Neurospora crassa OR74A: one gene and its partners. The protein of the gene in region 1 purifies or fractionates together with the protein of each later gene. This does not show direct contact. Links are inferred from orthologs where the notes say so. Each region holds a gene or a part of one and is shown in the gene's direction. Other genes may lie near its edges. The genes, in order: NCU00366, hsp98, NCU03876, NCU05270, NCU08046, NCU07954 and un-10.

The links.
Region 2: the proteins of NCU00366 (region 1) and hsp98 purify together in Saccharomyces cerevisiae (affinity purification with mass spectrometry; 3 studies listed by BioGRID, with this or other methods). This does not show direct contact. The link is inferred for Neurospora crassa OR74A from reciprocal best matches to the Saccharomyces cerevisiae genes TIF5 and HSP104.
Region 3: the proteins of NCU00366 (region 1) and NCU03876 purify together in Saccharomyces cerevisiae (affinity purification with western blotting; 13 studies listed by BioGRID, with this or other methods). This does not show direct contact. The link is inferred for Neurospora crassa OR74A from reciprocal best matches to the Saccharomyces cerevisiae genes TIF5 and TIF34.
Region 4: the proteins of NCU00366 (region 1) and NCU05270 purify together in Saccharomyces cerevisiae (affinity purification with mass spectrometry, with the first as the bait; 3 studies listed by BioGRID). This does not show direct contact. The link is inferred for Neurospora crassa OR74A from reciprocal best matches to the Saccharomyces cerevisiae genes TIF5 and FUN12.
Region 5: the proteins of NCU00366 (region 1) and NCU08046 purify together in Saccharomyces cerevisiae (affinity purification with mass spectrometry; 4 studies listed by BioGRID). This does not show direct contact. The link is inferred for Neurospora crassa OR74A from reciprocal best matches to the Saccharomyces cerevisiae genes TIF5 and TIF35.
Region 6: the proteins of NCU00366 (region 1) and NCU07954 purify together in Saccharomyces cerevisiae (affinity purification with mass spectrometry; 5 studies listed by BioGRID, with this or other methods). This does not show direct contact. The link is inferred for Neurospora crassa OR74A from reciprocal best matches to the Saccharomyces cerevisiae genes TIF5 and HCR1.
Region 7: the proteins of NCU00366 (region 1) and un-10 purify together in Saccharomyces cerevisiae (affinity purification with western blotting; 16 studies listed by BioGRID, with this or other methods). This does not show direct contact. The link is inferred for Neurospora crassa OR74A from reciprocal best matches to the Saccharomyces cerevisiae genes TIF5 and PRT1.

What each region holds. Positions count from the first base shown.
Region 1 is NC_026503.1:3,590,780-3,595,037, forward strand, and holds NCU00366 (eukaryotic translation initiation factor 5), read left to right. Parts: upstream 1-1,458; 5' UTR 1,459-2,343; coding exon 2,344-3,621; 3' UTR 3,622-3,960; downstream 3,961-4,258. Other genes in the region: NCU11030 (hypothetical protein), read left to right, coding at 1-131. UniProt on the Saccharomyces cerevisiae protein: Catalyzes the hydrolysis of GTP bound to the 40S ribosomal initiation complex (40S.mRNA.Met-tRNA[F].eIF-2.GTP) with the subsequent joining of a 60S ribosomal subunit resulting in the release of eIF-2 and the guanine nucleotide.
Region 2 is NC_026503.1:2,635,817-2,640,010, reverse strand, and holds the start of hsp98 (hsp98-like protein), read left to right. Parts: upstream 1-1,394; 5' UTR 1,395-1,889; coding exon 1,890-4,194. UniProt on the Saccharomyces cerevisiae protein: Required, in concert with Hsp40 (YDJ1) and Hsp70 (SSA1) and small Hsps (HSP26), for the dissociation, resolubilization and refolding of aggregates of damaged proteins after heat or other environmental stresses.
Region 3 is NC_026506.1:1,995,036-1,998,798, reverse strand, and holds NCU03876 (eukaryotic translation initiation factor 3 subunit 2), read left to right. Parts: upstream 1-1,218; 5' UTR 1,219-1,480; coding exon 1,481-1,530; intron 1,531-1,657; coding exon 1,658-2,255; intron 2,256-2,387; coding exon 2,388-2,780; 3' UTR 2,781-3,263; downstream 3,264-3,763. Other genes in the region: NCU03877 (C-1-tetrahydrofolate synthase), read right to left, coding at 1-175; crf4-1 (chromatin remodelling complex ATPase chain ISW1), read right to left, coding at 3,731-3,763. UniProt on the Saccharomyces cerevisiae protein: Component of the eukaryotic translation initiation factor 3 (eIF-3) complex, which is involved in protein synthesis of a specialized repertoire of mRNAs and, together with other initiation factors, stimulates binding of mRNA and methionyl-tRNAi to the 40S ribosome.
Region 4 is NC_026504.1:5,514,373-5,518,474, forward strand, and holds the start of NCU05270 (mitochondrial translation initiation factor IF-2), read left to right. Parts: upstream 1-1,302; 5' UTR 1,303-1,590; coding exon 1,591-2,103; intron 2,104-2,198; coding exon 2,199-2,714; intron 2,715-2,788; coding exon 2,789-4,102. Other genes in the region: NCU05271 (hypothetical protein), read left to right, coding at 1-438. UniProt on the Saccharomyces cerevisiae protein: Plays a role in translation initiation. Translational GTPase that catalyzes the joining of the 40S and 60S subunits to form the 80S initiation complex with the initiator methionine-tRNA in the P-site base paired to the start codon.
Region 5 is NC_026504.1:4,018,414-4,022,203, reverse strand, and holds NCU08046 (eukaryotic translation initiation factor 3), read left to right. Parts: upstream 1-1,135; 5' UTR 1,136-1,205; coding exon 1,206-1,231; intron 1,232-1,287; coding exon 1,288-1,542; intron 1,543-1,698; coding exon 1,699-2,347; intron 2,348-2,551; coding exon 2,552-2,776; 3' UTR 2,777-3,290; downstream 3,291-3,790. Other genes in the region: NCU08047 (hypothetical protein), read left to right, coding at 1-258. UniProt on the Saccharomyces cerevisiae protein: RNA-binding component of the eukaryotic translation initiation factor 3 (eIF-3) complex, which is involved in protein synthesis of a specialized repertoire of mRNAs and, together with other initiation factors, stimulates binding of mRNA and methionyl-tRNAi to the 40S ribosome.
Region 6 is NC_026504.1:1,231,142-1,235,407, reverse strand, and holds the start of NCU07954 (hypothetical protein), read left to right. Parts: upstream 1-1,466; 5' UTR 1,467-1,710; coding exon 1,711-1,729; intron 1,730-2,034; coding exon 2,035-2,824; intron 2,825-2,891; coding exon 2,892-2,907; 3' UTR 2,908-3,994; coding exon of another isoform or gene 3,995-4,266. Other genes in the region: pod-1 (mitochondrion biogenesis protein), read right to left, coding at 3,995-4,266. UniProt on the Saccharomyces cerevisiae protein: Component of the eukaryotic translation initiation factor 3 (eIF-3) complex, which is involved in protein synthesis of a specialized repertoire of mRNAs and, together with other initiation factors, stimulates binding of mRNA and methionyl-tRNAi to the 40S ribosome.
Region 7 is NC_026507.1:3,330,318-3,334,287, reverse strand, and holds the start of un-10 (eukaryotic translation initiation factor 3), read left to right. Parts: upstream 1-1,170; 5' UTR 1,171-1,397; coding exon 1,398-1,669; intron 1,670-1,804; coding exon 1,805-3,347; intron 3,348-3,413; coding exon 3,414-3,842; 3' UTR 3,843-3,970. Other genes in the region: NCU02207 (T-complex protein 1 subunit beta), read right to left, coding at 1-66, 142-144. UniProt on the Saccharomyces cerevisiae protein: RNA-binding component of the eukaryotic translation initiation factor 3 (eIF-3) complex, which is involved in protein synthesis of a specialized repertoire of mRNAs and, together with other initiation factors, stimulates binding of mRNA and methionyl-tRNAi to the 40S ribosome.

The sequences.
Region 1 (4,258 bases):
ATTCCAAGTTCACTACGGTGCCGGATAAGACGATGACGGAGGAGGACATGGAGATGGAGGACCAGCTTATATCGACAAGGCCGGCTGGGCTAAAGTGTCTGTTGAAGTTTGAACCGATCGGTGGGCAGTAGGTGATGGTACAGGGGTCTTGCGGGATGTGTTTTAGACGGCTTGTATTACAATAGATGTAGCTGTAAGTATAGATGTTTGACAGTCTTGGTGTCTTGCCAAATGGCCACGAAAGGTCATCAAGAGATTTAGACAAGTTGTTTGTTTGCGAGCTATGAAAGTATACATGATACCTGCAGCCAAACAGATGCCCCTGGCTTGAGAATGAGAGACGCAGAGGTGAGAGATGCCGTCCCTGAAAGAAACCGTACACAATACCTAACGACTTAGGTGCATAGTAATTGCCTGTTTGGGGGGGCGCTTTGCCGGATACAGATCTACCTAGATATTGGTGCGGGCTGGTTCTACACTAGCTTGTCGCATGAGTCTAGTGTACATACCTAGAGGTAGTTGACTTGGTTAAGCGTTGATTGATATTGCCGCCTTCCCTTGACAAAACATATCGCGTGTGTTTCGGATTCTTCCCGAATGCCGCCCATTTTTCACATCCCCGTAACTCCGAAGTTTCCCAAGGAGAGAAATTGGCTTTCCCAGACAAGCTGTAATTGTTGTGAGACACCCAGGCACACGGCGGAGAGGGAGACCGTCACTTTCACTTGACCGACAACTACAAAGGCCTCCTCCGCCTGGCTCGGTTACTGAAAGTACAATGAACCAAAGTGGAACTGGTCTCTGGTGTGGATGGATGGACATTGCACAGACACAGGGAACGCCCCCATCTGCGTGGATCTTCTAGTGTATACCGGCTGGTCATCAAAGAGTCCCGCCTTTTCATCCGGCCTTCTGTGTCCAGGTGCCTTCTGGCCACCGTCCGGCGAGTCAGCTTGTTGCAAGAGGCATTCCTTGGGCCGGAACTCGAGCATCGAAAGCAGAGGCGTGGAAACGCCGAGTGGATGAGGGGCAAAATGGCATCAAAATCTTTCAAGTTCCCTAACTTGCCATTCGGAACATACGCCATTGCGCGTCCGTCCTGTTGCTGTGCTGCCCGTTGCAGTGGGCGGGGAGATGGTAAGCAGGTAGGAATGGAACGCGACGGGACCTTCTTCCATTGTCGGTGTCGAAACGAAGTGTGTGAAAGAACGAACTGCACGCAGTACCTGCACGGCAACTGGTGTTGCCTGGCTTGGAGAACGGACACATGTCTCGGGTACTTTGCCCATAGCCCGCTGGTGGTGGTGATTACCTGCCAAACAAGAAGTACCCTAGACTTGCTCTGCCATGAGCCACAGGTACTACACTAGGTAGTGTACAGTACATGGGGGGGCTAGCCAGGGCACCACGAAAATCCTTTGGCCGACAAATCCTCTTGCTTGCTCGTCCAGTGACTGCCCGCCTTGTTGCCCGTGCCCGGTTTGGCTCCATTCTGCAGCACCGATCCACATCCACTTGCTTTCTCGTCCTTTTTTAAAAACTCTTGCTTGCTGCCTCTTTTTTGCCAAACTAACCTCAACTTCATTCTACCCATCAACCGCCATCAGCAGCGACATCGTCCTTGAATCTATCCAAGACCACAAAGGCGACCGGGCTCTCTGTCCATCTGTCCATCAACTCCACCTCCCCCGGATTTCGGGTGCCGCACCACGGAAGTGAAGTGAATCCACTATCCCAGCAGAAACCCACACAAAGTCACTCGACTCCATCCGCTCCGCTCCGTCAAGAAAAGGAAGCCCGCTCGTCACAGAGGGAGAAAAAAAATTTCGCTTGCCTCAAAAGCCATCCTCTCCCGCCCAGCTTTCTGTTCCAGCACCGCCCAGGTTCAGAACAACAACCACCACCAGACCCAACATAAGCATTTTGCGCGACACAGCGTTGTTTATGTATCAGCACGACCAGCACGCCGTCTTCCGACACTCTCCCCCCGTCAAGCTGCATTTTCGCATATCGCGGAAACCCTGTAGCTTCCAACAAAGTACCGACGGTTGAATCGCCATTCCCACGGTCGTCTGCCAGCGTTAATGCCTACCTTCGACTTCGTTAACCACACGGTCTACCCTATGTCAACTCAAAGTACTCGTCAATAACTGACCCCTTTGGCTCGTCTCGCCTCTCGATCTTCCTCACACGCTCTCCGTGCAACAAGAAGCCTCGCTTTCCACGACATCGTCGACCAGTCTACTAGTCTGCCCTCGTTAGGTATCGTCTACCAGACTCCCAACAAACTCCAACAAAACAATACTACAAACATCATCCTGTTTCGCCGTCAATACCGCCAAAATGGGTGCTCTTATCAACGTTCGTCGGGACAACCCCGACCCCTTCTACCGCTACAAGATGGAGCGTATCCAGACCAAGATTGAAGGCAAGGGTAACGGTATCAAGACCGTCGTTGTCAACCTCAGCAGCGTTGCCCAGTCCCTGGCTCGTCCCGGTGGCTATTTGATCAAGTACTTTGGTTTCGAGCTTGGTGCTCAAACCAACATTGATCCTCCTGATGACCGCTGGATCATCAACGGCTCCCACGAGGCCGCCAAGCTCCAGGATCTTCTCGATGGCTTCATTGCCAAGTTTGTCCTCTGCAAGAAGTGCAAGAACCCCGAGACGGTTGTCCAGATCAAGGACGAGAAGATCACTCTCGACTGCAAGGCCTGTGGCCAGCGCAGCAAGGTTGAGCCCCAGCTCAAGCTGACCTCCTTCATCCTCAAGAACGTCCCCAAGAAGAGCAAGAAGGACAAGGCCGAGCGCAAGGCGGCCCGCAAGGCTCGCCAGAACGGCGGCGATAAGGAAGGTTCCGGTGACGAGAACGGTTCCGACCAGGCCTCTCCTGCCATCGAGGATAAGAACATTGAATATGCTAGCGACGATGATGAGCTCACTCGCAAGATCAAGTCTGAGGCTCAGAGCTTGCAGTTGGGCAAGAGAGAGGCTCCCAAGGAGGAGGAGTGGGCTGTCGACATGAGCGAGGAGGCCGTCCGTGCCCGTCAGCAGAACCTTCCTGGCGAATTCAAGCAGAAGCTCGTCCTGAATGGTGAAGAAGACGAGGAGGAGGAGGGTGGAAACACCGTCTACGACCAGCTCGGCACTTGGATCGAGGATGAAGCCAAGGCCAAGGGTGGCATTAACAATGTCGACGATGTCGAGATCTACCTCAAGGCCAAGGAGCTCGGCATTGATGCCAAGCACCGCACCGTCCAGGTTCTTGTTCAGTGTCTTTTTGACGAGAACATTGTTGCTCAGATCCCCAAGCGTGCTCCTATGCTCAAGAGACTCGTTACCTCCGAGCGTCACGAGAAGGCCCTCCTTGGCGGTACCGAGCGTCTCCTTGCCGACCTCGGCAAGGAGTCTTATGACAAGATTGTCAAGATTCTCCAGCTCTACTACCACCACGACCTCTGCTCCGAGGAGGTCATCACCAAGTGGGGTAGCAAGGCTTCCAAGAAGTACGTCGATGGCTCTACTTCCAAGAAGATCCGCAAGGCTGCTGAGCCCTTCCTCACCTGGCTCGCCGAGGCCGAGTCTGAGGAGGAGGAATCTGAGGAGGAGGACGATGAGTAAATCATGTCCCTCGCCACTGAGGATACTACTTCCGTTGCCGCTTGATGCCTAGTCTAGCTTGCTCTTTTGTGTTGTTTTGAGGATGCAAAACCCAGAAGCAGATGGATAAATGCGTGAAAGGGTTGCGATCAGTTTTCTCCACTCACTCTCAGGTCTTGGTTCATGTTTGTCCCATGGTTCGCACTCAAGGGATGTCTTTTCCTGTGTCTGTGTATCGTTATCGGGGCTTTCATGGACGTCATCTAGTTAGTCGTTGAATTGACACGTCACTTATATCTCTACATATTCCAGTATACTGCTCAAGCGATGCCAGAAACATAATGAATGCCTGAATCTCTCTATCCTCCGAGCCGTTGTAGTCCTTTCCCGAAGCGGCTACGAGATATCATCAAGATCAAAGTGCCCGAGACAGTCGGTTCCGGGTGTAGGCGCCTTCATGTCGTTGTCGACGAAACAGTGCCCCATCGAGGTCTACCTACTTCAGCACATCGGGTTCCACTTGCTTGTTAGCTACTCTCTTATGGTCCCAATAATCTCCTCAGCATTATGTGTTATCGACTTGATGTTCGTGAGTGTCATGGACGAGTGCTCACTTTACTGTTAAGATGGCACCACTACGGTAGTACATCACGTTTAA
Region 2 (4,194 bases), about 950 kb from region 1:
GAAACCCACTCTTCCGATAATGGGGAGACGCCAAGCCATCAATTCTCCGCTTTAGATGCAATGGCTGCAGTGGATACTCGTAGCTAAAATAGCCGAGTCCCACTTTTACCCGCTTCTACGTTTGCCGTGCGCGACCCCAGCGTGCCGCCCTAGCGACACTGTCACAGGCCGGCAACTGAAGTGACAACCTGAAGCGGATAATATGCCACATCCATGAAGTTTATATTTCCAGAGGGAACTCCTGCATCGCGATGTTCATCCAAGTCCTGGTGTGATGGAAGAAACAAACCCCAGTCGAGGCCAATGATCTCCAGCTGTATCCAGCGGGCTACTCTCTTTCAGGATTCGGTCCTCATCTACACGATTGTTTTCCTGCGCGGCGAGCCTGGCTGACTTCTCAATCGTCCTGGTAGCCCAGATTGCTGGCAGGGTTAACCGTGCAAGTTAGCTTTCCAGAGATTGTAATGCATATCGGAGTGATATCGCAGCAAAGAAGCTCGCTGTTCAACTGACAAAAGCGTAACTAGAAGGCCACTTGACGTTGGAAGTGGCAGCTTGTGGTTCTGGTCGTGAATGGGTCGAGCCATGGCCTTGCACCCATCAAAGAGGGATTATAAGTCAACTTCTACTGACACAAAAAGAAGCCAAACTAGTATCAAGCATCGAGTTGATCGATTGCCATTCAGACTCCTCAACCAGTGTCTCCGTTCCTGTCCGAGGTTCTCAAGTGGGGAGGTGTTGATGACTACATAGTGGCAAACGAGACGTGGGAGTATTGTGGTATAGAATACCACCGAATGCACCGAATTCATCCATCTCGAAGGAATATGAAGTGTGACCAACCAAACTGGCTCACGTTGGGCGCGCTGGTTAGAGGAATCTCATGATACCCAACCCACCACGATGCGCAACATTACGTATTCGACTATCTCGTCGTAGAAATCACGGATGCGCAAGGAGCTTCCCTTACGCGGTAATCGCCGAAGACCTTACTGCGCCTTCTTGGCCAGACCTGTAGATGGGAAAAGGTATGTATGGTGAGAGAGAGATGCTGGAGTGTGAGGATACCGACATTGTGGTTCGTCCAACTGGGAGAGAACGTCCCTTGTTGTTCATCTGCGCAAACGAAGACAAAGAACAACGGTGAAGGATTATAGTGGAAGGAGAAGACGGAAGTGAAAAGAAGCATTGCAGTAACGTCCAGCTGTTTGGGTCTCGACAATCCTCTCTGGTTGGAGTCAGGTCGATGCAGGTACTGCGATGACGGAGAGACAGTCCGAAAGCGCGGACCCCACTGGAAAGCTTCCATGTGCCCCGCCCTCCAGGTACCCACTTTATACCCCTCAAGCCCGAACAGGAGCCAACAGTATATGGTGACAGGAAGACCGCTGAAGATTCGAGTCGCTTCGTTCTTGCGGGCAGCCTGCTTGCTTGTCACTATGATGTCGTCGCTTCCCGTGCGCCCGCCCGCACAGCTACCTCTACTTGCGACAGGCTGCGAGGACCATCGAGAAGCAGCTAGAGGTAGATACTCATCCCACTTGCTCTTGCACGGCCAGCTCGGGCATCAACTCGCGACTTCTCTCCCCACCAAGGCTCACGAATAAATTCCACTCCTTCTGACCTCTCCCCCCCGTCAGCGATTCTTTGTTTGTTCCCCAGATCAAAACACAAAAGTCTACTAAGAGATACCCCAAACACAATTGTTCTTTTCTTCTCCAAGATATACATCAAGAGTGAAGCCTCACGTCACACTAGCTTCATCTCAACATTTCCGCGATTTTTCTCTTTTGTACATCAACAATAACACATACACACACACCCCCAATCGAAACACAACACCACACAAATTCTGTAGGGACCAACAGAGTCTCGCACACTAATTCATCATGACGTCGAAAATGGAATTTACAGACCGGGCCAAGAAGGCATTGGAGGATGCCATGGCCCTGGCAGAGCAATACGCCCACTCGCAACTCCTCCCCGTTCATCTGGCAGTCGCGCTTCTCGACCCTCTCCCAGATCCGAGCAAGGACCAGCAAAATGCACCAGCCGGGGCAACCAGCTCTCTCTTCCGCCAAGTCATTGAGAGAGCCCACGGCGATCCCCAGCTGTTCGACCGCGCCCTCAAGAAGGCCCTCGTCCGCCTCCCCAGCCAAGACCCTCCTCCCGACCATGTCTCGATGGCTCCTTCCTTCCATACAGTCCTGCGCAAGGCCAACGAGCTGCAGAAGACGCAAAAAGACACATACATTGCCGTCGACCACCTTATCACAGCCCTGGCCGAGGAGCCCTCGATCATGAATGCGCTCAAGGAGGCCAACATTCCCAAGCCAAAGCTCGTTACCGATGCCATCCAGGCCATTCGCGGTACCAAGCGCGTCGACTCTCGCAATGCTGACACTGAAGAGGAGCACGAGAATCTCGCCAAGTTCACCATTGATATGACAGCCATGGCCAGGGAAGGCAAGATTGATCCCGTCATTGGTCGTGAGGAGGAAATTCGGAGAGTGATCCGTATTCTTTCACGTCGTACCAAGAACAACCCTGTCCTTATCGGTGAGCCTGGTGTCGGTAAGACTACCGTCGTTGAGGGTCTCGCTCAGCGCATCGTCAACGCTGATGTGCCCGACAATCTGGCCAACTGCAAGCTTCTGTCTCTTGATGTCGGTGCCCTGGTGGCTGGTAGCAAGTACAGGGGTGAGTTTGAAGAGCGCATGAAGGGAGTTCTGAAGGAGATCTCCGAGTCCAAGGAGATGATCATCCTTTTCATCGATGAAATCCATTTGCTCATGGGCGCTGGCGCGTCCGGAGAAGGTGGCATGGATGCGGCCAACCTTTTGAAGCCAATGCTCGCCCGTGGTCAGCTTCACTGCATTGGCGCTACCACCCTGGCCGAGTACCGCAAGTACATCGAGAAGGATGCTGCCTTTGAACGTCGTTTCCAGCAGGTCATTGTCAAGGAGCCTTCCGTTTCTGAGACAATCTCCATTCTACGTGGTCTCAAGGAGAAGTACGAGGTGCACCATGGTGTCACTATTTCCGATGCTGCCATTGTGGCCGCTGCAAATCTTGCGGCCCGCTACCTCACTTCCCGCAGACTTCCTGATTCGGCTATCGATTTGATCGACGAGGCGGCTGCCGCAGTCAGAGTCGCTCGAGAATCGCAGCCCGAAATCATCGATTCCTTGGAGCGCAAGTTGCGTCAGCTCAAGATTGAGATTCACGCCTTGTCTCGCGAGAAGGATGAGGCTTCCAAGGCTCGTCTTGAACAGGCGAAGAAGGATGCCGAGAATGTGGAGGAGGAGCTCAGACCCCTCCGTGAGAAATACGAACAGGAGAAACAGAGAGCCAAGGCTCTCCAGGAAGCCAGGATGAAGCTTGAGAGCTTGAGACAAAAGGCCGAAGAGGCTAGCAGAATGGGAGATCACAGCCGTGCTGCTGATCTTCAGTATTACGCCATCCCCGAGCAGGAGGCAGTAATCAAGAGGCTTGAGAAGGAAAAGGCTGCGGCTGACGCTGCGCTCAACGCCGCTGCGGCCGAAACCGGCGGTGCCATGATCACCGATGTCGTTGGTCCCGATCAGATCAACGAGATTGTAGCACGGTGGACCGGTATTCCCGTCACACGCCTCAAGACCAGCGAGAAGGAGAAGCTTTTGCACATGGAGAAGCATCTCAGCAAGATTGTTGTCGGTCAGAAGGAGGCCGTTCAGTCTGTGTCCAACGCTATCAGACTGCAGCGGTCGGGTCTCTCCAACCCCAACCAGCCTCCCAGCTTCCTGTTCTGCGGTCCTTCGGGTACCGGTAAGACTCTGCTCACCAAGGCTCTTGCCGAGTTCCTGTTTGATGATCCTAAGGCCATGATCCGTTTCGACATGTCTGAGTATCAGGAGCGTCACTCTCTCAGCCGCATGATTGGTGCTCCTCCCGGCTACGTCGGTCACGACTCTGGTGGCCAGCTGACTGAGGCCCTTCGCCGCAAGCCGTTCTCCATCCTTCTCTTTGACGAGGTTGAAAAGGCAGCCAAGGAGGTCTTGACCGTTCTGCTACAGCTCATGGATGACGGTCGTATCACGGACGGTCAGGGCAGAGTCGTCGATGCCAGGAACTGCATCGTTGTCATGACGTCTAACTTGGGTGCTGAGTACCTTTCTCGTCCCAACGCCAAGGACGGCAAGATTGATCCAACCA
Region 3 (3,763 bases), on another chromosome or scaffold:
CCGTGCCCCACGACAATGTCCATCTTTTGAGCACGTCTTGTCCCGTATGCTCGACTTGAATGCGCCGCCGTGTGTTCAGCGACCCGTGTGCGGACAGGGATGTGAGACAGCTTCCGGCTCGACGCGACTTCCTTGACGTGGAAGACACCCTCTGGATGAAGCTGGAGATGGCCATGCCTACACGACGCAGACTGGTACTGTAGAGCTAGAAGAAGGGTGCAGTGGTCTTTCTGCGTGCGTGCTGTAACAACATCACACTGAACAGCAGCGGACGCAGGCTCGGGGTAAGGGATATTCAGAAGCTCAAGACTTCCGCCCGGCCAAGCTCTCTCGACGCCCCCGGGCACCTCCACGACGGGGTGGGACCAGACGGATTCGGGACCCAGGGGTTTTCTGCGCCGCACAGAAGAGTCACAATGGGTTCCCGCCTAGGTAGACGACGGGGGATCGATGTCGAGGATCCAATGATCGCCGGTTTGCTGGCGGGAATAGAGGTTTCGTGATTTGTGATTTTTTTTTCTTTTTTTTTTCTTTCTTTCCCTTCTCGAGGAGTCACCGAAGGTGAGCGTCTCAAGACGTGCCGCAAATGACCAGTGTAAATGTGACAACAAAACGTGAAGCCAATGAGATAACCTAAATAGAATAGAGCCCAAACCCAAGCTTCTCAAAATAGTACGTATTCACCATGCATTCTTGCAAGAATCCTACCATGTCTCGTTAGAAAAGCCTCTATTTCCGTCTACAAATCTCCGAGAGTTGAAGAACTTTTCCTCCTCGATGCGACCCCCGGAAGAGGGCATTCATATAACTGCAATTGAAGTGGGTGTCTAGATGCTGCATCCATGACTCTACAAGTTCTCGGCTTGCTGCAGGTAGCAGCTCGGATCATGATGTGCTCGCACTGTCCTGTCTGTGTCGTTGTTCTAGATTGAAGTTGGTGTGGCTTGCGGCCGCGGCACAGGCTTGACGAATACAGCTGACTCTTAAACTCTGAGTCACAGACTGAGCCACAACTTCTTATCGGTGGCTGTCGACGGGCCGGCAGGCTGCGAGCGGCGGATCGAGGTGGCAGGCTGCATCGCAAGGTCCAGAGTCCGGTCCGAACTGAAACCAGCAGCTTCAATGGATGGCACACGGCTGGCTGGGACGAGGGACTGGAGAGGGGCAGCTTGGCATCTGCAGGGATAGGTGTTGGTTCGCCCCGCGGCCGTCAGAATCCGCCAGAGCCAGCCAGCCTATCGCGCACAATCTGCGGAAAAATTACTGGGAGTGGAAATCCACCCAAAGAAAGAACACCAAAGACCGATCCGACGACGACGACCGCATCTACAAAGACACTAATCCACCCACCTACCTCCCAAGTCGTGCAACCCCCCCCCGCGATATTTCTCGACGACGAATCCACTCAGTGTCTTCTAACGACCATAACACTTCCATACCGCCGTCCACGCCTCGTCATATTTAATAACCCACAATCAAGATGAGGCCCATTCTTCTTTCGGGCCACGAACGTGCCCTCACCCAGATCAAGTTCGTCTTCCCTCCGCATCATCATCGCATACCTTACCCGCCGACCCGACCCCTCTTGGTGTTCTGGCTTTGGCATGTCGGGCATATAGAGATGCAGCCTCTAACAGCAACCCTTTACCCCCAACAGGTACAACCGCGACGGTGATTTGCTCTTCTCAGTTTCCAAGGACCAGCAGATTTGCGTTTGGTTCGCGCACAACGGCGAGCGTCTCGGTACATACCACGGCCACCAGGGCGCCATCTGGACCATTGATGTCGACCCCACATCCACCATCCTCGCCTCTGGTTCTGCCGACAACACCATCCGCCTTTGGGAGATCAAGACCGGCAGACTTCTTAAGACATGGGACTTCCCTACCGCCGTCAAGCGCGTTGAGTTCAGTGAGGATGGCAGCAAGCTTCTGGGTGTGACGGAGAAGCGCATGGGTCATCTGGGTACCATCGTTGTCCTCGACATCAAGCTCGATGTTGACGCCGAGCAGAGCGATGAGAAGGCCATGACTATCGTTTGCGAGGACAGCAAGGCCACTGTTGCTGGCTGGAGTTATCTCAGCAAGTACATCATTGCCGGCCACGAAGACGGCTCCGTCTCCCAGTTCGACGGCAAGAACGGCGACCTCCTCTACAACATCCCCATCCACGAGCTCAACCAGCCCATCACCGATCTCCAGTGGTCGCACGACCGTACATACTTCATTACCGCCTCCAAGGACAAGACCTCCAAGGTATGTCACATGGCTCCACAACCCCCCCCCCCCCCCTTTTTTTTTTCTTTCTTTGGTCTTCTTCCCGGATCCTTAAAACCGAAATCAATGAACAGTCAATCGCATGCTAACACTCCTTGATTATTTTCACAGCTCATCACAGCTAAGGACCTGGAGGTCCTCAAGACCTACCCCGCCGACACCCCTCTTAACAGCGCTACCATCACTCGCAAGAAGGACTTCGTCATTCTCGGTGGTGGTCAGGCTGCCATGGATGTCACCACCACCTCCGCGCGTCAGGGTAAATTCGAGGCGCGTTTCTACCACAAGATCTTCGAGAGCGAAATTGGTCGTGTGCGCGGTCACTTCGGTCCCCTCAACACGGTTGCCGCCGACCCGACCGGCAAGAGCTACGCCAGCGGTGGTGAGGACGGTTACGTCCGTATCCATCACTTCGACAAGGGTTACTTTGACTTTATGTACGAGGTCGAGAGGGAGAGGCAAAACAAGCTCAACCAGCAACAACAGCAGACCATTTCTGCCTAAACGGATCCCTTCTATCGACATCGATCGAAACTTTCGGACTTTCAGCAAGCAGGATCCGAGGAGGGGCGGCAGAAAGGGGCGGAAAGGCGATTCGCGGGACGAAATATGGGTGTCGTGTTATTGAGTTCAGGATTCTCTCGACTTGTCGGAGGAAGGAAATGAGCAAACGGGTTATTTTACATCGCGCGTCCAGGGATCCAACAATTTGGGGGAAATGGGCATTTCACAAACGGCGTTTTTTTCAGGCAACCTAATCTGAGAATTTGGGCGATTCCACCCAATATTTGGTGAAAAAAAAAGTGAAAAGGAGCAAAAATTGGAGCGATGAGGTGGTGCGGTTCGATGTGAAGCAAACGAACGAACAAGTGAGTCGCGCGGAGAGCGGATATGTAATTTCCATCTTGTCACGAAAGGAACCTTTGGTCCCTATCGAAGCACAGAAGAGTCATTTGTCATAGTTGAATTCGGTCGTTCTTCTGCTTACTATCTTGCGCAACCTCGTTCATGTGATATCAGATTGGACGTTATAAGTAGAGGTCTTTCGCCAATTGCTTACTCACTCCCTTATGGTCAATAAGAATCCAACACAAGTGGAAACAATAATACAGGGGTAAAGGAAGTACAAGACTGCGCACATCATGCCCTATTCATCCATCAGAGAACGGATTTGACCAAAAGGATATCTTTTGTTCCTCAGGTAGGCAGAGAAATCCCTCGCTAAATGACGGCAGGTGAGATAACCATCACCGAGACCGCAACATGAATACGACACAACGGAAACGCCGCGAGCCAACTGCATTAACCCTCCCTGGACTCTTCTCAGTGGTGAACCGAGCCCCTTCACCCAATCTAACCCAGTCATATGAAACGCAACTACAGCTTCGAATACCAAGCCAAGTCAATACATGTGCCGTAGCTTGTATTTTTGGTCTGGACCACCATCAGGCGGTCTACTTCTTCTTTCCCTTGGGGGCAGCCTTGCC
Region 4 (4,102 bases), on another chromosome or scaffold:
CAAGGAGCCTGGAACGCACCCAAGTACGGCCGGCTCATTAGCACACCGAACGATGCCGAGATGTTGGGAATAGCCATGGACGGCACCATGTATCACTTTACGCTGCTTGATCAGCACGCATTGCGTCTGTTGCGATTCATTGTCAACTTGTATAACCTCAGGGGGAAGAGAGACGAGGAAAGGCTGCTGCACGCGGAGCCGAACCTGGGTCCCACTGAGCCGTCGCATGTGGATGGTGATGTGCTGAAGACACTCTTGGATGCGGAAGTCTTGCAAGAGCTGATCAACACGGAGGAGCTGTTGGCGCGGTTCAAGAGCCTGTTGGATAAGTTGGATGGAGGCAAACATACTGCTGAGTGGATGGGCGAGGGCACTGCGGACCAGTATTTTGAACTGGCGTATAACGTGTTGATGTATTATCTTAGGCAAGTTTACTAAGTGCTTGGAATTCTAAGGCGGGGGGGGGGGGGGGGGGGAAGGGCAAGATACACTGGTAATAAACGGACGTGTGATCCAGTGTCGGCCTACAAGCCGTCCTGATGAATGCCTTGGTGGTGTAGCTACAGCATAATAGAAAAGCGAATAAAGAATATCACTAGCAACATCTGGTTAATGAAATACCCATTATGACAAGGTGAGGGAGTTGGCCTGCCCCCTTGGATGGAATATCGCACAAAATACACCAAAGTGGTAGAAAGTAAATACAGAAATTAGCCCAGCAAGTGCCCCACTTGTGCCTTAACAAGCAGGTGCCCCGCATTCTGCACCAACGAGTCGGTCACTGTACTTGTACGCGGGAGTGCAGGAGCTTCCACTTCTTTTTCACCACTGCACTGTACTGTACTGTATTTGTCTTGACTGCTGTCTCCAACAGTCTGTGCAGTGTCAAGTCAAGGGCTTGGTCAAAGCGACACCTCCTGGCTCCGGCACAAGTAAAAAAAAAAGTTTGGAGTGGCGATCCTTGTCTGGATTTTTCTGCTGAATCGAGACTCCTTTGACTTTGCGACTTCGACTACTTGGGATTGAGTTAGAGAACGGGACATGATTGCCGTTTTTTGACCGTAGACGGAGACAATACCAAACACTTTATACGGGTTGAAAGAAAGCGCATAGGCAGACGGTGTAAGTACAGGTACTGAGATAGGTACGTACCTGACCTCTATATAGTGTAGCAACAAACCAGAGCGGGATTCGATACAAAGAACAACGAAAGAAAAAAAAAAGATCCACGGTGCCAAGTACCTACAGTACCATCGATCCACTCTGCAGCACCACCACCGAAAAGTGATACAAGTGACAAGCCCTATCCCGTCGACAAGGGGGGACCTACAGCACCAAAAAAAGTACGCCGCCTGCCTTCTTTAGCAGCCAGCCATATCGCATATAACGGCCCAGTAGCCCCAGTCGGCCGCCCCACGAACCCACCACCAGAACCACCTAGCGAGCAACGAGGTCTTCACCCGGACTTCGACTTTCGTCACAAGGAGAGAAGGAGAGCCCATCAGGATCCTCTCCCCCGCCCATCCTACCGACGACATCCCCGCCTCAAGGTATTCCCCGGTCGACTACCAACAGTCCAGTTAGCCCAACATGGCGCCCAAGAAGAAGGGAAACAAGAAGGCCAACGATGACTGGGAGGCCGAGCTGGGCGAGTCCATCGCCCCCGTCAACAACAACGGCGCCGATGCTGCTGCCGCCTCTCCCGCTGCCGCCGACGACGAGGCCGCTTCCGGTGGTGGCGGTCTGATGGAGAGAATGCGCAAGGCCAAGGAGAAGCGCAAGAAGAAGGGTCTTGCCGACGACTGGGAGGCTGAGCTGGGCGAAGACGCTCCCGGCGCCGAGAAGCCCGCTGCCGCCGAGCCCGTCCCCGATCTGTCGGCCAAGGTCGCCGAGGAGGCCAACCTCGACGACGAGTTCGCTCTCCCCGAGAAGAAGGGCAAGGGTGGCAAGGGCAAGCAGCAGCAGCAGCAACAGAAGGCTGCTCCCGCCGCCGCCGCCAAGAAGGACGAGGATGCTGCCGATGAGGATGGCCCTAGGGTGTTGACCAAGGCCGAGAAGGAGAAGCTCAAGAAGGAGCGTGAGAAGCAGCGCAAGAAGGAGCAGGTGAGTACCCAGTCATTATCACTATTACCCACTAATGACTATACATACATCAGACACAAACGGAAGACTAACAACAACTTCTTTTCACTAAACAGGCTGCTGCTAAGAAGAAGGGCACCACACCCGCCGCCGCCGCCAAGGCCGAGCCCGCAAAGGAGGAGAAGAAGGCCGAAACCCCCAGCCCCGTCTCGACCCCCGCTTCCACTCCCGCCCCCGAAGCCGCCGCCGGTGGCAAGAAGAAGAAGCTCCCCGCCCACCTGCTCGCCCTCCAGAAGCAGCAGGAGGAGCTGCGCCGTCGCCAAGAGGAGGAGGCTAGGCTCCTCGCCGAGGAGAAGGCCAGGATAGAGGAGGAGGAGCGCGCCGCTGCCGAGGAGGCCAAGCGCAAGGAGGAGGAGCGCGCCCGCAAGAAGGAGAAGGAGAAGCAGAGGATCGAGCAGCTCAAGAAGGAGGGCAAGTTCATGACCAAGGCCCAGAAGGAGGAGAAGGCCCGCAACGAGAGGAAGCTGCAGCAGATGTTGGCGGCCGGTATCAAGGTCAACGCGCTCGAGGGTGAAGAGTCCAAGAAGAAGCCTGTCTACGACGACAAGAAGAAGAGGGCTGCTAACAAGAAGGTGAGTCTGTCCGGGATTCTTGCTACAATTACGGTATACTATGGACGGCGCTAACCAGTGTCTACTTGCTACAGAAGGACGAGGAAAAGGCTCTCGCCGAGGCCGCTGAGCGCGCAAGACTCGCCGCTGAGGCTCTGGTCAAGGAGCAAGAGGAGAAGGCCCGCATCGAGCGCGAGAAGGCCGAGAAGGAGGCTGCTGCCAAGGCTGAGGCCGCCAAGGCCGCCGCTGAGGACAGCGTCGACGAGGACTGGGAGGCCGCTGTTGCCTCTGACAAGGAGGATGTCAAGGACAGCTGGGACGCCGACTCCGACGAGGAGGAGGAGACCAAGAAGGAAGAGACCAAGAAGGAGGCTTCTAAGCCCGCCGCGGCCAACGGCAAGACTCAGGCCAAGAAGGAGGAGTCCGAGTCCGAGTCCGAGTCTGAGGAGGAATCTGAAGAGGAATCTTCTGAAGACGAGGAGGCTACCGCCAGGGAACTGGAGGAGGCCCGGAGGAAGAAGGAGGCTGCCGAGCGCCGCGAGAAGGCTCACCAGGCCGCTCTGGCTGCCAGGTCTGCGGACAACCTCCGCTCGCCTATTTGCTGTATTCTTGGTCACGTCGATACTGGTAAGACGAAGCTGCTCGACAAGATTCGTCAGACCAACGTCCAGGAGGGTGAAGCCGGTGGTATCACTCAGCAGATTGGTGCCACTTACTTCCCCGTTGAGGCCATCAAGCAGAAGACGCACGTCGTCAACAGGGACGGCAAGTTCGAGTTCAAGGTTCCCGGTCTTCTTATCATCGATACCCCCGGTCACGAGTCTTTCTCCAACTTGCGTTCGCGTGGTTCTTCGCTCTGCAACATCGCCATCTTGGTTGTCGATATCATGCACGGTCTCGAACCCCAGACTCTCGAGTCCATGAGACTGCTCCGTGAGAGGAAGACGCCCTTCATCGTCGCTCTCAACAAGATCGATCGTCTTTACGGCTGGAAGAAGATCGAGAACAACGGCTTCCAGGAGTCGTTGGCCCTCCAGAACAAGGCTGTCCAGAACGAGTTCAAGAACCGTCTCGAGCAGACCAAGCTCGCCTTCGCCGAGCAGGGTTTCAACTCGGAGCTCTTCTACCAGAACAAGTCCATGGCCAAATACGTCTCCTTGGTCCCCACCTCTGCCCACACCGGCGAGGGTATCCCCGACATGTTGAAGCTCATTGTCCAGCTTACCCAGGAGCGCATGGTTGGCTCTCTCATGTACCTCTCCGAGGTCCAGGCTACCGTTCTCGAAGTCAAGGCCATCGAGGGTTTCGGTATGACCATCGATGTCATTCTCACCAACGGTATCCTCAGGGAAGGTGACCGCATTATCCTATGTGGTACAGAAGGCGTCATCAAAACCAATATCAGAGCC
Region 5 (3,790 bases), on another chromosome or scaffold:
AGTTTCCTTGATCTGAGTGACCTCGGTGACGATCTCGGCGACCTTCCCCAGATATCTTCAACTTCACTTTCGAAGCAGGGCTCGAGACCCGCGCCCCATTTTAGGTCTTTGTCGGTTGCCAACGGCGGCTTGGGTTCGCGACGGAATAAGACACAGCTGGCGGAAGGTCCCCCACCTGCTCCCCCGCCGAATCGTGCCCTTCCTCCAATCCCGAGAAAATCGTCACTTCAAGTCTGTCACTCAGCATATTCACCTTGAGCTGTGATTTGCATTTACTCGTATCTGGCGCCATACCATCATTCAACGCATCGCCATTTCTGGACGTCTAGGAAGCACGACCACTGAAGTTTCCGAGTATCTGTCAGCGACAATACTTGCAGAGCAAAGGGCGCCTGGGGATTCAACTGATAGAGATAAACCGCCATCGAACCGCTGATTGACTCCGTCACCATTTCCTTTGTCTCTCTTTTTTCAAGGTCGGGTTCAGTCGAAAAACAAGATACCGGTTAGATGGATGGAATAAGGATGCAGGAAGCAAGATACTGGATACCCAGGTGATGAGGGTACATTTATACCACCGGCGACATCCGGAACGTAACGTGTGAACGATCTCCTTTGTCAGGTCGATTTGGTGCGGGATTTGTCTTTTTTTGCCATATACCTTGTATTATGTAATGTTGGGGTACCTACTGTGTATGTAGGTGATTAATTGAGGAGGTGAGTGTGGTGGGCATGAAGGGCGGGGTGGTTTTCGATTCTCAATCGGAGGAGGGGGGTCACAGAGTCAGAAGAAAGCTGGTGCCCGGCAGGCTCCGTGGCCAACTTAGATAGCAGTGAGTTTAGAGCATCAGATATGGATGCTTGGAGAAATCTGAATCGAGTTCAAACTCTCAAACTTTAACCTCGGTGCCAGCCATCAACTTGCAAACAAAGGTACCTACTATGTACAACACGTCCTGGTGTCGAGAGAGTTGAGCTAGCTCCATGTTGCGGCGCCGCGCCCTGCCCCTGGTAGGCCTGGAGGAGCAACGTTCGGGTTAGGGTTGTGATGCCTGTGATGCCCCCACTAATGGATGCGAAGTGGAAGCAACCCAAAGCGGATAATGAAAGAAGGGGCAAAACACCTCAACGTATACGTCTGGATGCGACCAGTCCTGCTTTGTCAAAGAACGAAGCTTCGTTTGTAGGGAGCCGTATTGGCTGTCATGTGCGAATCTGCTGCCTTGATATTGTACGTAGGATAGAGCACCGTTAGCTGCCAAACAGGGCTGATTTCCTGAGTGAAAGCCGAGTCAGCAAGACAATTTTTGCCCCACACTCAAATATCCAAAAATTCCCACCTCCAAAAAATGGGGGGGAAAACTGCCCTGGCTTTTCAAACTTGAGCCCCACCAAAAATCGCCGCCAAACCAGCGCAACGTCAACCCATCGCGACGACAACCCACGGCCATTTCAGTCATCCACCGCACCCATCACCAGACGAGCCGAACCTGCGGAATCAAAACAACCACATACTGTCAAGATGGCTGCCGTTCAACAGAAGTCAGTACTCCTCCGCTTGCCTCGACAGCAAACGCCCGTCTGCATCCACGCCCCCGATTCCCCCGATTGCCATTTTTCCGGCGTGCTTCACAACCCAACACGTATGCATTTGATTTCTCGGAGAGTAAGAGTCTAACATAGTTCGCGACCATTCAGGCACGACTGGGCCGACGATGACGAGCTCGAGGAGACCTCCACCGAACTCCCGCCCCCTCAGAAGATCACCAACAAGGATGGCAGCACGACCATCATCGAGTACCGCCTGAACGACAACGGCCAGAAGGTCAAGACCACACGACGCATCCGCTACATCACCCACCGTGAGGTCGTCAACCCCCGCGTCGCTGAGCGCAAGTCGTGGACCAAGTTCGGCCTTAGCGTCAAGGACGGCGCCGGCCCGGCCCCCGACACCACCTCGGTCGGCGAGAACATCATCTTCAAGCCTTCCTTCAACTGGCGCCAGGAAGCCAAGGATGAGAGCAAGGACCCCAACGCCCAGGCCATGAAGGACAAGTTGAAGGACAAGAAGGTCAAGTGCCGTATTTGCAACGGCGAGCATTTCACCGCCCGCTGTCCCTACAAGGACACCATGGCCCCCATCGGCGAGGCCGGCGCTGCCGCCGACGTCGCCGCCAGTGCTGCTGACGAGGCTGCTGCCGCTTCCCAGGGTGCGGCGGGCGCGGGCAAGAAGGGCTCGTACGTGCCACCTGCGCTGCGTGGTGCCGGTGGGGCCGCGGCTGCTGGAGAGAGGATGGGCGGCAAGTACGGCGAGCGCGACGATCTCGCCACTCTCAGAGTTACCAACGTACGTTTGCCCCTAGTGTCCCCCAAAAGGACGCGGAGGAGGAGGAGGAGGAGGAGGTGGTGGTGGTGGTGGAGAAGAAGAAGAAGCAGAAGGAAAAGGGAAAGAGGGAGTAGGCGACAGACTTGCAAAAGCTGCTCTGTTCTGCTCCTAAAGAGGGGTTATTATGACGGGACTGATTCGTGCTAACATGTTTTCTACGCTTAGGTCTCCGAGATGGCCGAGGAACAAGAGCTTCGCGATATGTTCGAGCGGTTCGGTCGCGTCACTCGTGTCTTCCTTGCCAAGGATCGCGATACGGGTCTTGCCAAGGGCTTCGCCTTCATCAGTTTCGCTGATCGCAGCGACGCTGTCAAGGCTTGCGCCAAGATGGACGGTTTCGGTTTCAGACATTTGATCCTTAGGGTTGAGTTCGCGAAGAAGGCTGCGTAAACTTAATGGGTCTTCTAGACGGACGAGGAGGCGGAGGAGAGGGAGGAAGGGGTTAGAGGAATGATGGAAGAAGCAGCGATGTTTTGGTCCCTAATGCGGTCTGCACAAGGAAGTGCGTCATCAAAATGGGAAAGGACTCTTTGATACTACTATTACTTGATCTGGTTCCTGTCTCTTCTTGCTGTGGGGGTTCATACTAATGGGGAACAAGCGGCAAAATTTGTCATGATCGAGAGATTTCTTCCGCCTTTTAAGCATATCGGGCCAGGGTGGCCAGGTGGTTATAGTTGACTTTTGTTACATGGATGACGGGCTAACTCCAGGTTGAACAAGATCGGTGTAATAGACTGGCAACATGCCCGGACTACAGGAGCCCAAAACGCACCGAAGCTCTTCAGAATACAGTGTGGTCTTCTTGTCGATTCAGGGCGCATGCCAGTGTTTAAAACAGCTGACAGCCTCTCTGAACTCTTGAATTATTATCAGTGCATTTATCTATCCCGCTGAACGTCCCTGGCATCAAACATTATATTACTTGGTGACAGAATCTGTTATGATGTCCTATCATCAACTCAACCGACCAATCGCAAAGACCGTAAGTTCCTGAGCTCTCTCAAAGCAGCCGGCACGTCCCTTCATCCTCTTCATCTTCCTGTCTCATTCATCTCATCACCGTAAAAGTCGTTCATCCCTCCGCCCTGCCCTCATAAATCATGAAGTCTTGGAAGATGTCGACAAAGAAAAATGGCTGGTTGCCTATAAGAGAAATAAGAAACAAATATCACTCGAGAATGAAATGAAAAAAAAAAAAAAGGGGGGGGGGGGGGGACATTCGGCGCAAAGAAACCTCAGCAACAACACCATGAACACACAAGAACAATAGCCTCCCGCCCATCATAACCCCTACACCTTCTCATCCCTAGACCTTCTTGCCTTTCCCCTCCTCCTCCTCCTTCGGTCATGATCACTCTCTCCATCAGTATCATTCCCTTCCTGCCTTTCCTTCTCCTCCTC
Region 6 (4,266 bases), on another chromosome or scaffold:
CTTTCCTGCCCCCAGTTGCAACTCCTTTCAGGGAAAAATTTGGAATACGAGAGCTGACTGAAAACACCGAGTTTGTCCGTCCCTGGTCTCAAAGGAGCAATAGAGTTCCGACACTGCCCAAGCAATCTCCATTTTTTAACATCAAGACAATCCAGGAACAAGCAAATAGCGGGCGCTAGCGAAAGGAACCCGGAAAGCTCCAGATCTTCAACCAGGACAAAATTTCATTTTGAATCCTCAAAGTGGCAACCGGGCATCGATTGTGGTGGTCAGCTGGATGTCGTTGTTTGGCGGTGTCGGGACCTCCCGGGTGACAAGCCATAGGGCGCAGTTCCACTTCCGCAACATTCTCGGGATTAGCCTTGTACATATCCAGAAGAACAGCGAGCCCCTGAGCAAGTACACTAAGACTGGGGGATTGTGACTCAACACAAAGACAGCCACAGGAGATTTCGAGATCATTGATAGTTGGTTGGTTGGTTGACAGGGCACTTGGGCGAGTTATGTGTTGGAGATTTTGCTGACAGTAATAGCGAGCGGAGGGAAACGGAACACCAGTCGCACTTGTTCTCATAGGACACACAGCATGACTGAGCAATGGCTTGGTTGCTTCCGAACCTGCAAATATACAAACAAATGTCTTGGGCCATAAGTTGCGAATGGCTTCATGTTAAACTTCTAACTTTGCTGTGACGTCAGTGGTAGTTATTCGTAGAGTGTAGGATCGAAGGAACAATTGCAAGTGTCCAAATATTATCCCGTGTCGGAAGCGGGGTGGAAGTGGTGTACAAAATATTGACGACGCAGGGCATTTTCGGGTGACTCCTGGTCCAGAACATTTGGTGAAAGAGCAGAGCTTTAGCATCCACCTAGTTGTTTATGAATCATTCTCTCCACATGCGTTAACAGACTTCTCCAAAAAGCCATCCTTCTAGGCCTGCTGCACCTAGCACATGCTGCTTGACCGAGGCCGTACATATATGGTGCATGCATCGTGCATATACAAGATGTCCTAAAAGATAAGAGAACGAAAAGAAAAGAAAAAGGGAAATAAAGACGGGCATGTTGGCGAACTGATGGTTTTTGTCAGGACTCAGCACCGACCCTGACTGACGGGCCCGTGCGACACAGCACTGACCCCGCATAAAGCCTTCTGGAGGGAAGGCATTGATATATACCAAAGATGGGAAGGAAGTGGTTATTCAGAAGGGATGGTAGCAAGCAAGACGTACGAGGAAGTCAGGTGCTTGGTAAAACATAAACGGGAGGAATAAATGGGGACGATTCCTGTGTATTGAAGACTAGCCGCCCCAGGCGTCTGGAGGTTCTGGTTTTCCTCCTCATCTTCATCGGGCATCTTCTCAATGAAATCCAATTGGTCACAAAGCCCTTTTCCCTGGCAGTTTTGGCATTGTATTAAAATCTTAGACGTTAAAGAACCTTGAAGAACCTGTGAAACGCTGTTGCTGTTTCACTGTTGGTCTTCTAACCCCGCTAACAATACCTAGTTATTTTGCCCACTGCGAACGGAACCACACTCAAGGTGGCTGACCCCTGCTCGCTTTTTCAACTTCTCAAGACTGCGATCGGCTTCTCTTTTGCAGTTTGGACACAACCAACCACAGCACGCAAACTTTTCCTCGTCGCGCCAGACATCGTTGTCGCAAAGACCCGTTCGGTTTTCTAGATCGTCACTACCAAATCGCAAACATGTCTGGAAAGAAGTGGGGTAAGTCTTCCTCGCTCTCCTTGCCTTTTCCCTCTTTGCGCAAGACGAACCCCGCGAACAGTGTATGTCGGCGAAAGTGGGCGGCCGCGATCGCCGTGACAAGGCTGCCTGATGCCTGCGCCGGCTTGCGATAGACGCTGTTAACATTGCCATATGCCTCGAGGCTTCCATGTTTGAGGCGAATTGGACTTCAGCGACGCAGCCTATATATACAGATCAACCAGAACCAACTCTTGCATCGACTTTCCTGTTGCGCCACCACAACCTGTTCGAAACCCAGACTAACTAACCCCTCATCACCACAGACGAGGAAGAGGAGGAGTCTTCCGCCCCCAACTCGCCTGTCCTTGCCCCCGGCCGCCGCCGCTTCGACGATGAGGAGGGAAACGAGAGCGACGTTCTCGACTCGTGGGATGCCGCCGAGGACTCCGAGGTAGAGCGCGAGAAGGCGAAGAAGGCCGCCGAGGCCAAGGCCAAGGCTGAGGCCGAAGCCGCCGCCAACAAGAAGTCCAAGGCGCAGCGCATCGCCGAGCGTCAGGCCGAGCGCGCCCGCCAGCTGGCTGAGGATTCGGACGCGGAGGAGGAGACCGAGGCCGAGCGCCGCGAGCGCCTCCGCCGCGAGCAGAAGGAGTCCGATCTTAAACACGCTGAGGACCTGTTTGCCGGCATCGGCATCAGCAACGACCGCAAGGTCGTCAGCAAGGGCACCATTGTCCAGATCGACCCCAAGGACCCCAACAACACCATCGACATCTCGACCTTGGCCTTGTTCAACCCTACCACCAAGACCCAGTTTGAGACCCTCCGCACCACTCTTGGCCCCATGATCGGCAAGCTCTCGCCCAAGCCGCACTACACCCTCTTCCTCCAGGAGTTCTCCAAGCAGCTCGCCAAGGACCTCAAGAGCGACGAGATCAAGAAGATTGCTAGCACCTTGACTGCTCTCAGCAACGAGAAGCTCAAGGAGGAGAAGGCTGCCGAAAAGGGTGGCAAGAAGAGCAAGGCTGCCAAGACAAAGACCTCGCTCGCTGGTGTTGGTCGTGGTGGTGCCATTGCTGAGGCCCACGACACTTATGATGATGATGCTTTCGGAGAGTAAGTTGGCTTGAGGTGGAGTGAGAAAAGATACGCGTGGGGAACGATTGCTAACGTTTCGCTCTAGTGATGACTTCATGTGAAAGATTTCTACCGATAAATCACAATCGTTCGCTTTGTGAGGAAGAGAGGCCTCGAGTCCCTCTTCCCATCAAGGGATGTAGAATCATCCCCTTCACCAGGTATAATACTCATCTCACCCGGGAAGCATTCGGAGCGAAGCAAAAAAGTAGCGGTTGCGTGTGTTTCATGGCGTAAAAAGAAAGCGTAGACTACCACGACACCCGCGCAACGGTCACGGCACGTCCGCCGTCCGGACGTAAGGTTCAGTGGCATGATGTCTTGGATGGATGCATGAGGGATCAGAGTCGTCATCAGTGCCAGACTGGACGAAAAAAGGAGGATGGCCTCTTGGGGCACTGATCGAGTCGCGACTTGGGGGTGACGGGAAAAGGCAGCAGATACCATATAGCATGGGGGAAAGTAGATTTAGAGTGCATTCAATAATGAAGGCGAGCATCACGTTTCGAAAGTCCAGGCTGCATATCATCCTGGTGTGAGGTTCTCTTATCGATGCCATGGCTAAAATTACAACCAACACTATTTCAGTCACCATCTCAGAACCCTCTCAGAAACTTACACCAGTGAACAGGTGATATTTCCCGACCATGAACACCATGTGAACTTTTCAGACAATGTTGCTGTACCCTAATCAAAACACTTAAAACTCCGATCGCGATGTTGATCTGCCCTGAGCAACCATCATCACTGACAACAAAACCAGGGCACACAAAACACCTCGCCTCCCGCATTCATATGATTCCAGCCAGTAATTCGATCCGTCCGGGTCATTAAGAGCGTAAACCAGTTTCAAATCCCCTCCCTCCTGTTCATAACCATAACCTGCCTGCCTGCCTGCCTGCCTGTCTGTTCCTTCGAGCTCCTGTTTTTCAGAGCCATATAAGTATGTTTGATGTATGTATAGTACAGTGAAATACCGCTTGGAAAGGTATGGTAACCCCCTCACGGTAAAGTAAAGTAGAGAAGAGAGAGAGAAAAAAGGATAGTACAACACAACCCCATATCGTCACAAAACAAGACTTTTCCTCTACCCGCCTGATAAAATACAGGCAAAAGTCTATAATCGTCAGTGTCATATCCAATGACGGCTCACATCAAGTCTCCCGCCACGCCAGCCAGCAACGCATGTACCACGAGACTGACCGTCCACAGTCCCACGCGCTTGAATCTCCTCACCCTACTTTGCTGATCCTCTACGTTTCTGGCAAAAGCACGGTACACCTCGGCGCTCATATCGTCCATCAGCCCACAGTCCCAAACGGTCCAAGCTCCGTCAAAGTCCGTCAGCCGCTTTACGATCCGGCAACTGATGGGGATGTAGGTGCGCTTGGCGTTGATGTAGGCGACGATGGGCCGTACTA
Region 7 (3,970 bases), on another chromosome or scaffold:
ACGGGCATTCTCTCCCTTCTCTTCTGTGGTGCCCTCCTCGAAGATCTGGGTGGGGCTAAACGAGGCCTGGAGATGGTCAGGCGGTTGGTTAGTTACGGTGAGCTCGGAAAGATGCCCAAAGTGATGTACAAATCAACTTGCCATGATGTAGAAGAAGCTTAAGTATTAGACAAAAGGTCGGGGATACGGGGTGCACAGGGGGTTGAGGTTGGAAGAGAAGAAGAAGCAATTGAAGCTTGGTAGTACTATATTTTGGGTGGACGTTATGGATACCCTGAACGCGAAGCCTCCTTTCTACAACAATCTGCCAGCAGCGGGACGGATGATGCTCTTCTGAATTCCAGGCACTTTTTGGACGGCAGGCCACGGCAAAATTCCAGAGCTTCCTGTTCCTCCTTTACCTCACCGCCTGCGACAGGTGGCATAAAATGCTTGTCACTCGCATGCCAGGCCGTCTGCCCCTCCTTTGACAGACAAAATGTCCACTTGAGGTGAGTGGGCAGCAGGGGACCCCACTTGGACGTCTTCCGTGGGGAAGGAAGAAAGGGGGGGGGAGGGGAGCTTTGGGCTGGCAGCGGCGGCGGCGGCGGTGGATAGTGGTGGACAGCGCAGCCAGCACTTTGAGAAGCGAGGAGCCCAGGGGACTACCGTCGAGGCTCAAAGCCAAGAGGAAAGGGAACCTGAGTCGGTGCAACGAACGAACCGCAACCTTCAGTCCACTTCTTGACTTCAAAGTGATGGCAACTTGAAACCTGTAAACTCTGCTGAAAGCGGACAGACGTTGCCATGGTCAATATTGGTTCCGTGCACAAACGAACAATGCTTAGCCCACTGCCTGCCGCCATCATTTTGTTAAAAAGAAAGGAAACCGAAAAAGTTGTAGTTGATGAAGAATAGAGACAGCATCGAGAACTTGACTTTCCCAGGCTGAGTGTTCATTGCGACTGTGCAATATCCATGATATCTGAGGCTCCGTCTTCTTTAACCTCCAAACTATCCACCCCATCATTGCATTCACTGACATAAATTCCCATTTTGGCGATTCCAGAGAGAGGGGATCTGGTAGGGTAGCCAATCAACGTGCATTATTGCCTCCTAAAGTGGGGCATTCCCTTCACTGTCTTCCCTGGTTCTCTGGCCGTTCTCACTGAACCCCACCACAATCTGCGCGCTGCGCACAAATTCTCACAATAATCCTGACGACCGCATAAGCCAGCACGTTGTTCCGCCCGCGGCATCGCAGAAAAAATCCGAAGCGGCCAGCCCAGAATCCCGTCATCCACCAAGTCCAACCACCACCACCACCACCAGAGGCGCCTTCCCGACCCGTACATCGCCAGCTACCACTAATCCCCGGCACCCACCAAGCATAACAGACTGCCGATTAATTGCCCAGCATGGCGCCCTCTTTCGACCACCTCCGCGACGAGGACCTCGACGAGGATGACTTCGATGTTGATGAGGTCGACATTTCCGATATCCGCGAGAAGTACGAGGTTCAGCTTGAGCAGGGCTACGATGCCTTTGTCGTTGTCGACGGCCTCCCCGAGGTCAACGAGGAGCAAAAACCCAAGCTCGTCAAGTTCCTGTTGAAGAAGCTCAACACGGTTGGCAAGACCCGGGAGGACCTCATCTTCATGCCCATGGGCGAGGATGGAAAGTCGCTGAGGTATGCAACACAGCCGCCGCCTTCAAAATGATGCGCATCTACAGACCGGCCATCCATCGCCGCGCCCGAACCGCGATGTGTCCCTATGCTGTGCATGTTGGCTCCCCGACCAGGCCACTGATATGAATTCTGTAGGTTCGCCTTTGTCGAGTACTCGTCGCCCGCCGAGGCCGCTGCCGCCTGCAGACAGCTCGACCTCGTCCCCCTCGACAAGAAGCACACCCTCCGCGTCAACAAGCTTACCGATGTCGACCGCTATGGTCGCGAGGGCCGTATCGATGACGAGTACACTCCTCCCAAGATCGAGGAGTTCCAGGAGAAGGAGCACCTCCGCTCCTTCATGGCCGACCCCAGCGGCCGCGGCAGAGATCAGTTTGTCATGTTCAGGGGAGAGTCCGTTGGTGTCTTCTGGAACAACGAGAAGGATACGCCCGAGAATATTGTTGACCGCCAACACTGGACCGAGACCTTTGTGCAGTGGTCGCCCCTCGGTACCTACCTTACCTCCGTCCACGCCCAGGGTGTTCAGCTTTGGGGTGGTCCCTCGTGGACCAGGCAAAGGCGTTTTGCCCATCCTTTTGTCAACCTTGTCGCCTTCTCTCCCAACGAAAAGTACCTTGTCACCTGGTCCAACAGGCCGATTTCGATTCCTGAGGAGGGTCACCCCGCTCTTTCTGTAGAAGACGACGGCAAGAACTACGTTATCTGGGATATCGAGACCTCCAAGCCCCTTCGTTCTTTCGCCCAGCTCGACACCCCCGCCGCCGCCGAGGGCGAGGCTCCCAAGAAGGCCCCCAAGTTCCCCTGGCCCGCCTTCAAGTGGTCTGCCGATGACAAGTACGTCGCCAGGCTGAACCCCGGCCAGTCTATTTCCGTCTACGAGCTTCCGAGGATGAACTTGTTGGACAAGACCGCCATCAAGATCGAGGGCGTTGTGGACTTTGACTGGGCTCCCGCCACCGTGCAGCGCGACGGTGTCAAGTCCTACGAGCAACTTTTCTGCTTCTGGACCCCTGAGATTGGCAGCAACCCCGCCAGAGTCGGCTTGATGAGCATCCCCTCCAAGCAAGTTGTCAGGTCACTGAACCTCTTCAGCGTCTCGGATGCCAAGCTCCACTGGCAGTCCGAGGGTGCTTATCTGTGCGTCAAGGTTGACCGTCACTCCAAGTCCAAAAAGTCTCAGGCTACCACTCTTGAGATTTTCCGTGTCAAGGAGAAGGGAGTCCCTGTGGAAGTTGTCGACACCATCAAGGATACCGTAATAAACTTTGCCTGGGAGCCCAAGGGCGACAGGTTCGTTATCATCACCACCACCGAGCCTGTCGGTGCCACCGCGGTTCCCCCCAAGACGTCGGTCGCTTTCTTCTGCCCTGAGAAGGCCAAGGGCAATGCTGTTGGAAACTTCAAGCACCTCCGCACTCTCGAGAAGAAGAACAGCAATGCCATCTACTGGTCGCCTAAGGGACGCTTTGTGGTCGTTGCCACTGTTGCCAACACTCAGAGCTCTGATCTCGACTTTTACGACCTCGACTTTGAGGGCGAGAAGCCCGAGTCCGACAAGGACCTTACCGCCAACCTTCAGCTTATGAACACCGCTGACCACTACGGTGTCACCGACGTTGAGTGGGACCCCTCGGGTCGCTTCGTTGCCACCTGGGCTTCCGCGTGGAAGCACTCTGTAAGTATCATTGGTATTAAATCAAGATGACGTGCAGCAGAAATCGCTAACGTGAAACAAAAACAGATGGAGAACGGATATCATCTGTATGACTTCAAGGGTGAGCAGCTGCGCGAGGAGGCTATCGAGAAGTTCAAGCAGTTCCAGTGGAGGCCGCGCCCCGCTACCCTCCTTAGCAAGGAGGAGCAGAAGGCCATCCGCCGCAACCTCCGCGAGTACTCGAGGATCTTCGAGCAGGAAGACGCCGAGCGCATCAGCAGCGCCGACGTTGCCGTTGTCGAGGCCCGCCGCCGCCTCCTCGAGGAGTGGTTCGCTTGGCGCGAGGCCATCAGGCAGGAGGTTGCCGAGGAGCGCGAGATCTACGGCCTTCCGGCGGATCCCGTTGCCGACCTCATCAAGGCCAAGACCCCCGAGCTCGCCACCGACCAGGAGGAGCAGGTCATCGAGGAGATCATGGAGGAGGTGTTGGAGGAGACCGAGGAGATCGTTCAGTAAATGTGCGAATAGGCGGCGGCAGTAGTTTGATATGTTGTGAAGTTACATGGCGTACCGTTTTTTCCCCGTTTTTCGAAAAGGTCATCTGAGGGTACAGTGAATAAAATGAACTGGGTTCTTTCATATCT